3 linked regions of the Cricetulus griseus genome follow. The protein of the gene in region 1 interacts with the protein of each later gene in a biochemical or structural test. Links are inferred from orthologs where the notes say so. Each region holds a gene or a part of one and is shown in the gene's direction. Other genes may lie near its edges.

Region 1 (4,539 bases):
GTGAAAGCCAAGAGCAGGGTTGACTCTGGAGTTTCCTGGACTTGTGCAACTCCCAGGGCTGCTCACTCGCTCACTTGACTTGGCAAGAGCCCAGAATTAAGATTATAGTAAAGCAGGCGACTTTACAACCTTGTAACAATCAGGGAGCCTCACCCCATGGTCTCTAGCCCCAGGCAGAGTATAGACAGGTGGGGCCTGGCACAGTGTTTCTTGGCACCAGAGGCCTAGTTCAGCAAGAGATACCCTTCATTCCTAACTACCCAGGCTTCAAATAGCAAGTGCAAGTGCCTAATAGGTCCAACCTAGAAATACCTATAAAGAACAGATTAAGTTAAGCCAATGAGTGAACCAAGTTTTTTTTTTTTTTTTTTTTTTTTGTGTGTGTGTGTGTGTGTGTGTGTGTGTGTGAGTGTTGGCTAGACCAGGCTGGCCTCGAACTCACAGAGATCCACCTGTCTCTGCCTCCAGAGTGCTGGGATTAAAGGCATGGGCCACTAACGCCAGACTTTCATTCCCATTTTTAAAATCGGTAACCACACCGAGAGATTAGAGAAGTTAAGCAACATGGAATCTTAGCTAATCTTCCTAAAAATTCTAAGGCTAACAATTCACAGACCTAGGCTCTGAGGAGGAAGGAGAGGGCTCCCATGACCCAACATTCGTTTGAGTGGTCCCTCTTCTAGCAACCTGTCACCTCTGCATCTATTTTTCTAGTCCCCTCTCTATGGCATCCGCCAGGCCCCTTTCAGGGCCTTACTGGCAGAGGTAAGGCACACTTACCTCTTCCTTATGTCTTCCGCACACTCCTTGCAGGGGTAAAACTTGGAAAATATATGTATGAACTGGGCCATATCTCGCTGTTGTTCTGGGGTGGGCATGTCCGGGTAATAGGCGGCCAACGTGTGGAGAAAAGCCCAGGTGTGGCGACCCAATTCCTCCCGATCCTGCGGACAGTCCTCCCTAAACTTGATGTCCCGCTGCAGAAGTAGGCCGACTACGGGTCAGTTCATTCTTCCCCAACCAGAAGCCCACAAAATTCCAACCCAGTGGCAGATTGCTTGTGTTGCACGCCAGAGGCCTTGGGTTCGGATTCCCAGTATCACCAAAAGAATAAAGGAAACAAGAATGCTCCCCTTTACAGTTGGCAGCCTAGTAAACTGATCGGCCAGCCAGTGGCTGAAGGCTCAAAGTCCGACCCTAGGGGTGTGTGTGGGTGAGGGGGTGGACATGTTTAGGCATAGCCAACCCTGAGGAAACCCGGTGTGGGGCGGGGGACCGGGACTGGGCGGTCAGGCGGGGTATCTGCACCTTCTGCTGGGTCCGCATCCACGACTTGAAGTCCACGCAGGCTCGGCACGGCGGCTTCCCGTGCTGCAAACCTTGCGGCCCCGGGGCTGAGGCAGAGGCCGCGGCGTCCCTATGCCCGGTGCGGCGGCCCCGCGCGTCAGTCACCAAGTCGTCTGTCATCTCAGAGCGCGCGCCGCCGGGCAGGAAGGAAAAGAGACTGCTGCGAGAGGCGCCCTCGGGCTCGCTGGGCGCCGCCATCTTGCCGGCGTACAGACGGCGGGGCCAAGAGGGCCTCCAGAAGGCCGGCAGGGCGAGCGCGCACGCCACTGCCAGCGCGCGGCGGCTGGAGCGGGAAAGGCGGCCGGGGGCCGAGCTCACGCTGGGGAAGGAGGCGGAGCCTGGCGGCGGGGCGGGGCTGGGGGTCGAGGCGGCGGCCCGGGTCTCGGCGGAGTCGGAGGCCCCGGCGCCGGAGGAGCCGGAGCGGGAGGCACGGGCCGAGGCGGCATAGGGGGATGCGGCTCGGGCTCTGGTTGTCCGCCGCGGGCCGGGCGTGCGTGGTGCATGGGGGAGCTCGGGTTTCCTCCCGCAGTGTAGTGAGTTGTGGAAGGTGCGCTGCGGCCCCGCTGGGAGGTCGGGCTGAGACGAGGTCTGAGATGCTTCTCTCGTCGCCCCCATCGCTCGGTTCAGACCTTTACCCGCTAGCGGCCAAGGTTGGGGCCTTTCTGGCGTACAACGCGCCCACCTACACGCTTCTGGGTGCTTGGCAACGCGCGGCGGGGCGTGGCCTCACAGAGCAGGCAGCGCCAATGGCCTGGGTCGACTTTTGCCCTAGTTACTGGGCCCCGCAACTTTGGGAGAGGCCTGGGACGCGTCCTATAACATTGGCGGGGGGAGGTTATTATGCCTATTTCAGCCTCAAGAATTCCTTTTTTTTTTTTTTGAGACAAAGTCATGTAACTTGGACTAACTTGGAATTCTGTTACGTAGCTGCCACCTCTTCTAGTACGTGACTTAGAAGCCTGGGCCATCACAGGAAGAATTCTTTTCCCTCTTCCATGTGTTCATTTATTCATTCTGCAAATATTTGTACAGTGGTACTCTGCTCCAAGCGCTGTTTCCGGCACTGAACAGAACAAGGAACAAGCTTCCTTCCCTAGCCTCTTTAGCCTTTGACCAGTAGTGAAGATGGGGAAAACCCAGTCACAGAAATAAATTTTATTTACAAACTGATGAAAGCTGGGTATAGGGTGTGGGAATATAGCGCTCCTAAATTGGAGACCCTTAAGCACAGGCCCCATAAAATGAGAAATCAGCTCAGGCTATCGCATTTTGCAGAAGCACCAAAGGCCACTGGGGGCAGGACTCTGGGAAGGTAGGAGGCCAGGATCCAGAGCTGGGCAATGGCCCACCAACCATGCTAGAAATTGGGATTTGTTCTAAAAGCAGTGGGAGACGTTGGGCAATTTGGGACAAAACTGTCTTGGCCTGATCCCATTTCTACTTTGCAAGATTTCTTCTATTTTTGTTAGAGTGATATTTTTGACAGAGTTTCTCTGTGTAGCCTTGGCTGTTCTGGAATTCGCTCTATAGGCCAGGCTGATCTCAAACTCAATAGATTCTCCTGCCTCTGCTTCCCTCCCGAGGGCTGGGATTAAAGGTGTGCAGAAGCAGATCTCCGTGAGTTCAAGACCAGCCTGGTCTACAGTGTGAGTTCCAGGACAGTCAGAGCTACCCAGAGACCCTGTCTCAAAAAACAAAAGTGTGATCACCACTGCCCAGCTTTTTATTTATTCTTATGTGCACTGGTGTTTTACCTGCATGTATGTCTGTGTGATGTCAGATCCCCTGGAACTGGAGTTACTGACAGTTGTGTGTTGCCATGTGGGTGCTGGGAATTGAACCTGGGTCCTCTGGAGGAACAGCCCAGTGCTCTTATCTGACTCATCTCTCCAGCTGGGTGGATTAAGAGACAGGGAGGAACTTCTTACTAGACAGAGTTGGGGCTCCTCTGTGTACATCTCAGTGAGAGTAAGCAGGTGGGTGATGAGAGGGGCTCACAATTCCTCTAGGTCCCTAGTGGTAGGTACTCAACCCTTTACTACTGCTCTCATCTTCCATTGTCTCTGAAATAGCCTGTATGTAAGAACCAGTTGCTTAAGGAGATGTCAAGGTTTGGCCAAGGAAGGAGGTAGGTTTCATGGCCTAGTTACATGGGTCTCAACCTTAGCTGCTCAGGAGCCTGAGGCAGGAATATCCCAAGTTTAAAGCCAGCCTTTGCAAGTTAGCTAGCAAAACCCTGTCTCAACCCTCTGCCCCCCCCCCAAAAAAAAAAACCTAACTTAAAAGGACCCAGGTGTGAAATACTTGATTCAGATGATAGCAATGTATAGCCCCACAGGCAAATTCAAAAATCAAGCTGTTAGACACACCCTGGGAGTTACAGCAGGGTGGGGGAAGAGGCAGAGGGGGCAGGTGAGGTTGAGGCGGTACTTTAGGAGGAGCTGCCTACCTCCATTGTTCCCTTGGCTGAGGGAGAAAAGGAGCCCCAGGTGGCAGTTCCAGCCCCTTAGAGTTCTGTTTCAGTACAAAGGGCTTCATTTTTTCCTCCTACCTGCCCTGGCTTACCCCTCCCCCTAGCACAGTCCTGCTGTGATGAATTCTCTTAGATTTTGTGCTTGAAGAATAACCAGGAAACTGAAAGGTTTCCAGGTGTGTATGCTCTGCAGGGACAGTTTAGGGCAGTGTTGGGAAATTCCACTTCACTTTTTCCGGCTGCTCAGAGCCCCTACAAGCACCCTGCAGGAGGCCACAACCATGGCGGGTCCTAGACACCCAGTATCAGCGCATGCTGTAGCCCTGGTGCAGATGGAGCGACTTCAGGTAGGACCATACAGCCCCATCCTCCGCTACAAAGAGGCAGAAGGGTAGCTGACAAAATCTTAAGAGAGACGGAAACTCAATCTTCCCTCATAGACATTTGCCTTCTCTGTGCACTGGTCAGACAACAGTGACTCGTCTGTTCGCCGGAGCTGGGATGAGTTTAGGAAGCTCCAGGTAAATAACATGGGACTATTTCAACAGGGTGGCTCATCCTCCAATCCAGAGGCCAATAGCTACATGACCTCCCTTCCTGCCTGTAGCTCTCTCAGGGACTCTTTCCTCCCTTTGGGGGTTCTCTCCACTTTCAGGGACTGACACCCATTTCTTCCCCTCAGAAGATCCTTAAGAAAACCTTCCCAGTGGAGGCGGGCC
Region 2 (3,881 bases), on another chromosome or scaffold:
TTATTATCCTGAGGTGCTTGGGGCAGCTGAGAAATCCATGCAGTGACACATTTATCTGGGCTCTAGCTTGGCAGGCACCTGCTGCCAGTAGCTCTCATCAGTTGACAGATTTCCATTTCCATTGTGGCATTGGGTTCTTGGGTTACTGAGTTTGCTGTTCCACAAGCATTTTTGTCCCTAGGCATTTGACCAAGCAGTGACCAAGGATACCTGCATGGCTGTTGGCTTCTTCCAGCGGGGAGTGGCTAATTTCCAGCTGGAGAGGTGAGCATAGCAGGATCCCCTGTCCCTTATTGGATGGTTCTTTGTCTCTGCAAAGCAATGCTTGCACCCACTTCCTTCCCTCTCTCCTCTGGATCCCCTCCAGCCTGGATGAGGATGCTCTGGTTAGGCTGGCCCCTGCCCCCCACAGTCCTGTCTCTGTCAAGATTCATGGCTCTAGTAGTGAGAACACTGTGTCTACAGCCAATTTGCAGATGTGAAAACAAGGGCTTATCCAAGGATGTGGATGGCCTCCCAGCTTTCTAAGGGGAGTAGGGGAGGAAGGATAGTCAAGGCTGCAGGCTCCAATTAGCCTAGGAGAACTGACTGAGGACGTGGAGAATCTAGAGGGGGACAGAGATTCCATCCAGAGTTGGAAGCTCAGAGATCAGAGGAGGTCCCATAAGGTTGGGCTTGAGAGGCAAGAAAGGAGAGCCCAGGATGGTGGGAAGAGGTTTGGAAGTGTAAGCAGTGGTCCCCGTCAGGTAAAGAGAGCAATGCCTGGGAGGCTAAGTGGAATTGGACAGTAAACTCCCGTTGAGCATGGTGGTCTGAACTCGTCCCATGGAGTTCTGATTTCTAGGTGACCACTATTGCCTTCAGACCTCCCAACGCTGGCACCGACGGGAGGATGGGTGGGGTACCCCAAAGTCATCCTTCACAGGCTCAGCTCCTCCCTTGTGGCTATTGAGAGGCCCCTGATGCTCACAGGTTCCAGGAAGCTGTGTCTGATTTCCAGCTGACCCTGGCACAGCTGAGGGGCAATGCTGCCATTGACTACACACAACTGGGTCTGCACTTCAAATTGCAAGCCTGGGAGGTGAGTGGGCATTTCATGTGGGCAGAGTTCAGACACCAAGCAGTGTCACTGAGGCTTGGGGTTCTGTTGGGGGATCTAGGGTTCATGGAAGTTCTAAGGTTCTGCCATGGCACTGGGTTGCAATAGAGGTCCTATCATGTAGTCTGGGGTCCTGGCTGGAGTCCTAAGATAAAGTCTAGAGTGTTGCCAAGTGCTGTCACCTTTATGTTGGTGTTACTGGCCATTTCACATGGCCAGCCATGTGAAATGAGGTGTCCTGTCTAGCTAAAGACTTTTGGAGCCCTGAAATCCCCCAGCTCTTTGATTGGAGGCTGGAGTGGCAGTTGTGGGAGCAGACTACTTCCATACTTTGGAGCCAGCCAGCATGGGCTCATGTGGGAGAAAAGCAGGACAGAATTGAAGATCATGACAAGGTGACAGACAAGTTTGGGGGAAGGGGGATTAGCTCAGCAGTACCTGCAGCTGAGCCAGAGGAAACAGTAGGAACAGGGGGGCCATAGAGAGAGTGGGTGTGTTTCTCTCCTTGTAGCAAAGCTGGGTTTCTTGTGTATGTACCTCCCCAGGATGAAGGAACGATGGGCTCCCAGCATCATTGCCTGTCACTGGGGCTGTAGGGTAGCCTTAACTCAGTCCACTTTGCCCATGAGAATGCTCTGAATGTGGGGTTCTGAATGTCCCTGGACAGCCAATGGGAACCCTTAGACATACTCTAGACTCAGTTAATGGGGATGGCAGAGTATAGAATTAGGAGGGCATTAGCCAAGGGAATACGTTGTGAGCCACCATGTGAGAGTTGGGAATCTAACCTAAGTCCTCTGGGAAAAAAAAAAAAAAGCAATGAATGCTCTAACCACTGAGCCATCTCTCCAACCCCCCCCCATGCCCCTGCAGCAGCACAAGGGGACACTTTGAAAGGGAGAGCTACTTCTGCTGTTTCAAGTAGAAAAGCCCAAAGCAAAACATGGCACTGCCAGCGGTAAACGAGATAACAGGGAATGACCATTTGGCATCTGACAACTGAGCCAGCTAGGCAGCAGGTGGCCTGGTCCCTACCTATAGCTCCTATGGCAGCTGAACATACAGAAGAACCTCCAGCTACTGTGACTGGGGAGTTCAGCTGAGGACCATCTTGCGGGCCTGGCCCCTGCTGTCATGTCTGCCCTTGTTCCTAGGTCCTATACAACATGGCATCAGCAGAGTGCCAGGCAGGGCTCTGGGCCAAGGCTGCTGATACTCTAGTGGAGGCAACTTCCAAATGGCCAGAGGGGGCCCAAGGTATCCTGGACACTGCCCTGGACCAAGTGCAGGTGAGGAGGGCAGGTGGCAATCACACTGGTTTGGAGCCAAGTTCTATAGCTTATGCCCTCAAGACTAACTATAGCCGGGCGTTGGTGGCACATGCCTGTAATCCCAGCACTTGGGAGGCAGAGGCAGATGGATCTCTGTGAATTCGAGGCCAGCCTGGTCTACAGAGCCAGTGCCAGGATAGGCTCCAAAGCTACACAGAGAAATCCTGTCTCAAAAAACAAAACAAAAGACTAACTATAGTATAGGGAGAGAAGTAGTCTGGTGCCCCATACTTCCTGTAGCATGTCACATATGATGGGAGCCCAAGCAGCCCCTCTGCTTCAAGACTTGGGGTTGTTGCAGCTGTGGCCACCCAGGTTTACACACTCCACTCCAGAAACAGGTACCCCTGCAGCTAAGGCAAGTCCCCAAGGGTGAAGTCTTCCAGCCTCCCAGGCAATACCTACAGCACCTGAAGCCCATGGATTTCCTCGGCAAGGCTAAGGTAAAGCACTCGGGTGTTTTCTAGCTTGGGTACCCAGCTGCCAAAATGGCAGTTATAGCCTATGTCAAGCACATGGAGTGGTGGCTCCTGCAGTGGACATCCAGTGTGTTTATGAGGACAGTTGGGTGTAGTCTAGGCCACTTGAAAGTCAGACAGGTAGAGAGTGGGCACAAGGCTCCTAGGGCTGGGAGTGGGTGTTCTTACACGAGGCTGTACGCCCCGAGGCAGAACTTACCAAAAGTCAGCTTTAAAGGAGGGCACCCCAGCTTCTGGATGGAAATCCCCAGCGGTGCCCCTCTGACTCCACTCTTCAGTTGCTCCCAGTATCTGTGCATCTTCGTGTATTTCTGTTTCTGCATCTCTGCTACAGACAGCAGGGTCCCAGAAGGGATGTGTATGGCCAGTCTAGGCCATATCAGGCCCTCTAAACCACAGGCTATGGTGGAGTCTCTCACCTCCAAATAGAAGAGAGGAACTCAAGAAAACAGTCACTTGCAGTGTCACAAATACGGGCCAACTTGATATTGTATTATTGGTCCCTGGGCTGGCCGCACACCTATGGTCATTTGCCACAGCACTCACGCTGGACCTATCAACACTATGTGACCACATGTAGCTGCCTGAGGGGCACACTGCCTTTGAATGTCCCCCGAGGTGGACTGAGTATAGGTGGAGAAAACACTGTCCTTGAGAACCCATCAGAGTTCACTTGGACCACTGTTAAAAGATACAAAAAATATTTAAAAAGTTGTACTAAAATTGAGTTATATTAGTAGTATATGTTTCTCTTGGTCATACCTTATTTTTTTAAGCTGTAGTGGTCTAGCAGTCTTGAGCTAGTTGTAGGCAGCCCATACCCTGCAGATTACAGCCATGGAGGTACTGGGAATTGGGGACCTGGAGGAGAAGACTCAATGGGGCCCTAATCCAGCTGTATTCCTGCCCTCACTAGGTGGTGGCATCTGTCATCCCTGACAACCACAATACAGATGGCTGGCCTCAGCAGGT
Region 3 (3,366 bases), on another chromosome or scaffold:
CCTCCTGACCTTCTGTCTTCCCTCTACATCTAGTGGACAGAAGTACTTGACTACTGTGGTGAAGCTGTTTGGGCCCCTGACGAGAAATTACTATGTCCGGGCTGTCCTCCACTTCTTGTGAGTCCCGCTGACAATGCCCTGGGTAACAGGAGACTAGAAGGAGACACCCCGTGGGTCTGTAGCCTGGACAGGAGTTTAGGGATTAGCCAAGCCTCTTCTTCATTGATGTTTGTCCAGACAGAAAATCCCAGCTTTTAGAGAGGGCAGAAGGTCCTAGACCTGAATCTGCCATCTGTTCTGAGGTGCACACTGAACCTAGCAGTCAAGCTACAGTTGCAATGCTGGGTGGGTCTCCATGGGTCTGTTACACCTGTTGTTGTTCTTGGTCTTTGCTAAGCCTGGACTGGGACACACCCCAGCTCAAGCCTTTTCCCCAACAAGGTAGCTGGGGCTTGAATCAAAGGACACATTACTGTAGAGAACAGTTTATACCAAACCTAAAATGGACCTAGGCAGAGCTGGCCGCTGCTCATTCTAGGGTCCTGGGGACAGAATCTCCCGTTGAGAGCTTGTGGCCTAGAGCTCAAGAGCCCTTCTAACTGTTGTCCATTTGCTTCCTCCTGTTACCCTCAAGGCTGTCAGTGCCTGCAGGCTTCCTTCTGGCCACTATCCTGGGAACAGTTTGCTTGGTCATTGCCAGTGTGATCTACCTTCTGGTAAGTGGCTGCCCTCTGTACAAGCCTCCCCCATCCCCCGCCCCCATGTTCTTGGTGCTCTGGGCCCTCATGACAGCTTCCTTGCTCACTTCAGCTTTGGTTAGTGCACGTCTGGTATATACTGGACACTTCCCAGTTGAAGCTGCATTGTAGCTCTGTCAGGCAGGTGGCTAAAGAGACAGACTCAGAGAGGCAGTGAGGCTGGCCCAGGTCCAACCTCAGTGTGGGCCCATTGCTCATCAAAGCCTACCTGAGTTTGGGGAGCTCATGACACAGAAGCATCTGTCTTATCTGTCTGTCTATCATCTACCTACATACCTATCTATTTGTTTATTTTGAGAAGAAGAGAGGGTCTCCTGTAATCCAGACTGGCCTCAGACTTGCTATGTAGTTGAAGATGACCTTGAACTCCTGGTCCTTTTGCTTCCACCTCTGTTTTTTTTGTTTTTTTTTTTTTTTTTTTTTTTTTTGTTTGGTTTTGGTTTTGTTTTTTCTGTGTAACTTTAGAGTCTGTCCTGGAACTCACTTTGTACATCAGGCTGGCCTCAAACTCACAGAGATCTGACTACTTCTGCCTCTGTCTCTGCCTCCTAAGCACTGGAATTAAAGGCGTGAGCCACCACCATCCGGCTATTGCTTCCACCTCTTAATCTTAATGCTGAATGGCAGGTAGAAGCTACTTCATCTAGCTTAGTTTGTGTTCATTAAAAGTCTCCCCCACCACCAGCACACACACTTTCTGAGGTACTATGGATGTCTTTCTGATTCTCTCCTGCCAGCTCCATTCTTATCTTCTGTATAGAATGTTCTAGCTTATTAGTTAGAAGATGTAGCCTCAGGTGTTTAAAGGTATAGCCACAGGTGTTTGAAGGTGTCAGTGTGCTGCAGAGTTTCTATCTCTCAAGCATTGTGGGCTACTAAATTTATTTATGGCTTTTGTTTTTGTTTTACTTTTTAAAATATTTATTTATTTAGTGTACGATGTTCGGCACCAAATCTCATTACAGATGGTTGTGAGCCACTATGTGGTTGCTGGGAATTCAACTCAGGACCTTTGGAAGAGCAGGCAGTGCTCTTAACCACTGAGCCATCTCTCCAGCCCCTTGTTTTACTTTTTGAGACAGTATTTCTTTGCATAGCCCTGGCTGACCTGGAACTTGCTCTGTAGACCAGGCTGGCCTCTGACTCAGAGAGATCCTCCTGCCTTTACCTCCAGAATACTAGGATTAAAGGTGTGCGCTGCCACCACCGCCACCACCACCCTGTGGGATACTAAATTTACTTGCAATTCCCAGATACCCTAAGTCAGCTGCTGTGGAAGTGCATGTGGCAGGAGGCTAGCAGCACTGTTCCCAGCTTGCATTTTTAGCACCCAGCCCTACACGCTTCCTACAGAATGCTTGACATCCTTGGGGAGGCCTTGTCGAAGGTGGGTGTCTCTTGGAGGGGATTATAGAGTCTGTATCTGGAAGTGTTTCTGGGAGTGTTATAGAAGCCCGGTGGCTCCATGCTCCCTCCACTGCAGGGCCCTCCTGGCATAGCCACATAGCTTGGGTTTGATGTCAGGCAGCCCCAGATCCTGACTGTGTGGCCTTGGGCCAGTCAATTAATGTAAGCCATTGCCATCCTGCTTAGGGATTAAGACCTATGTCCACCTGGAGTCCCCCGTGACAGTAAGCAGCTTGAAGCATAACACAGTCCCTCTCTGCCCCTCAGGCAGCCATCCGGGGTGAGCAGTGGACCCCCATTGAGCCCAAACCCAAGGAGCGGCCACAGGTTGGAGGCACCATCAAGCAGCCACCTACCAATCCCCCACCCCGGCCACCAGTGGAGGCCCGCAAGAAGCCAAGTGTGGATGAAGAGGAGGCAGCCTCAGCTGGAGGCCCCCAGGTCAACCCAATTCCAGTAACAGATGAGGTTGTGTGACCTTCAGTTGCTGTCTGCAGCTCCTGCTTAAGTTTTCCTTGAGTCGCCACCAGGGGGTGGTGATGCCCATTGTAATAAAAAGTGAATAGCTGGTGTGGAGAGTGGTTCTTCCTGTGAGGCTGGGGGAGGGGCTGTGACATGCACCCCATTCTGTGTGGTGACCTGAAGGCCAGTCAGGGAAGGCCTGACAACTGTCCAATGGACCCTGGGTGGACTTATGCTTACAAGTGGGACCCTGAGCCTAGTCCAGGTCTTCCAATAGTGGAAGCCATTGGCTCCCAGTCCCCTGCAAAGGCACCCAATGGGTCTGGAGTACAGGCTGCTATCCTGGTGGCTCCTGGCCCTAGGCTGCAGTCTAGATCTCCAGTTTGGCCTCACAGCCCTGGGTCTGGCTGGGCCATGCTGGGAAGTTTTGTTGTGGCAATGATTGCTTGCCTGTCTTGATGCAGAGGAGTGTTCCTGGGGGTTAACTTCAGGCAGAGATGGTGTCCCCAAGTGGCCAAAGTAATATTGAAGAGTGGAGAGCATAATGTGACCGTGAGGAGCCTATTCTCTGCCTAGGGCAGGAGCTGCCCCTGTAGGAAGATGAAGACGCAGGCCTAATGGCTGTGCATGTCCTGTTGAAGCCCCTCCGCACCCCAGAAGTACTCTCTCAACACGCACACCTTAGGAAAGAAATCTGGGACTTTAGTAGCCTCTGAGCACCCACTGGGTGGACAGGGCT

Evidence for each region.
Region 2: the proteins of Noxo1 (region 1) and Noxa1 form a complex in vitro, tested with the Homo sapiens proteins (2 studies listed by IntAct). The link is inferred for Cricetulus griseus from reciprocal best matches to the Homo sapiens genes NOXO1 and NOXA1.
Region 3: the proteins of Noxo1 (region 1) and cytochrome b-245 light chain form a complex in vitro, tested with the Homo sapiens proteins (3 studies listed by IntAct). The link is inferred for Cricetulus griseus from reciprocal best matches to the Homo sapiens genes NOXO1 and CYBA.

Annotation. Positions count from the first base shown.
Region 1 is NC_048600.1:44,285,639-44,290,177, forward strand, and holds the start of Noxo1 (NADPH oxidase organizer 1), read left to right. Parts: upstream 1-1,725; 5' UTR 1,726-1,799; coding exon 1,800-1,894; intron 1,895-4,067; coding exon 4,068-4,167; intron 4,168-4,260; coding exon 4,261-4,341; intron 4,342-4,475; coding exon 4,476-4,539. Other genes in the region: Gfer (FAD-linked sulfhydryl oxidase ALR), read right to left, coding at 781-977, 1,309-1,545. UniProt on the Homo sapiens protein: Constitutively potentiates the superoxide-generating activity of NOX1 and NOX3 and is required for the biogenesis of otoconia/otolith, which are crystalline structures of the inner ear involved in the perception of gravity.
Region 2 is NC_048599.1:136,440,049-136,443,929, reverse strand, and holds part of Noxa1 (NADPH oxidase activator 1), read left to right. Parts: intron 1-181; coding exon 182-264; intron 265-972; coding exon 973-1,081; intron 1,082-2,253; coding exon 2,254-2,388; intron 2,389-2,765; coding exon 2,766-2,873; intron 2,874-3,825; coding exon 3,826-3,879; intron 3,880-3,881.
Region 3 is NC_048596.1:199,072,298-199,075,663, reverse strand, and holds the end of cytochrome b-245 light chain, read left to right. Parts: intron 1-33; coding exon 34-117; intron 118-634; coding exon 635-716; intron 717-2,432; coding exon 2,433-2,642; 3' UTR 2,643-2,736; downstream 2,737-3,366. UniProt on the Homo sapiens protein: Subunit of NADPH oxidase complexes that is required for the NADPH oxidase activity that generates, in various cell types, superoxide from molecular oxygen utilizing NADPH as an electron donor.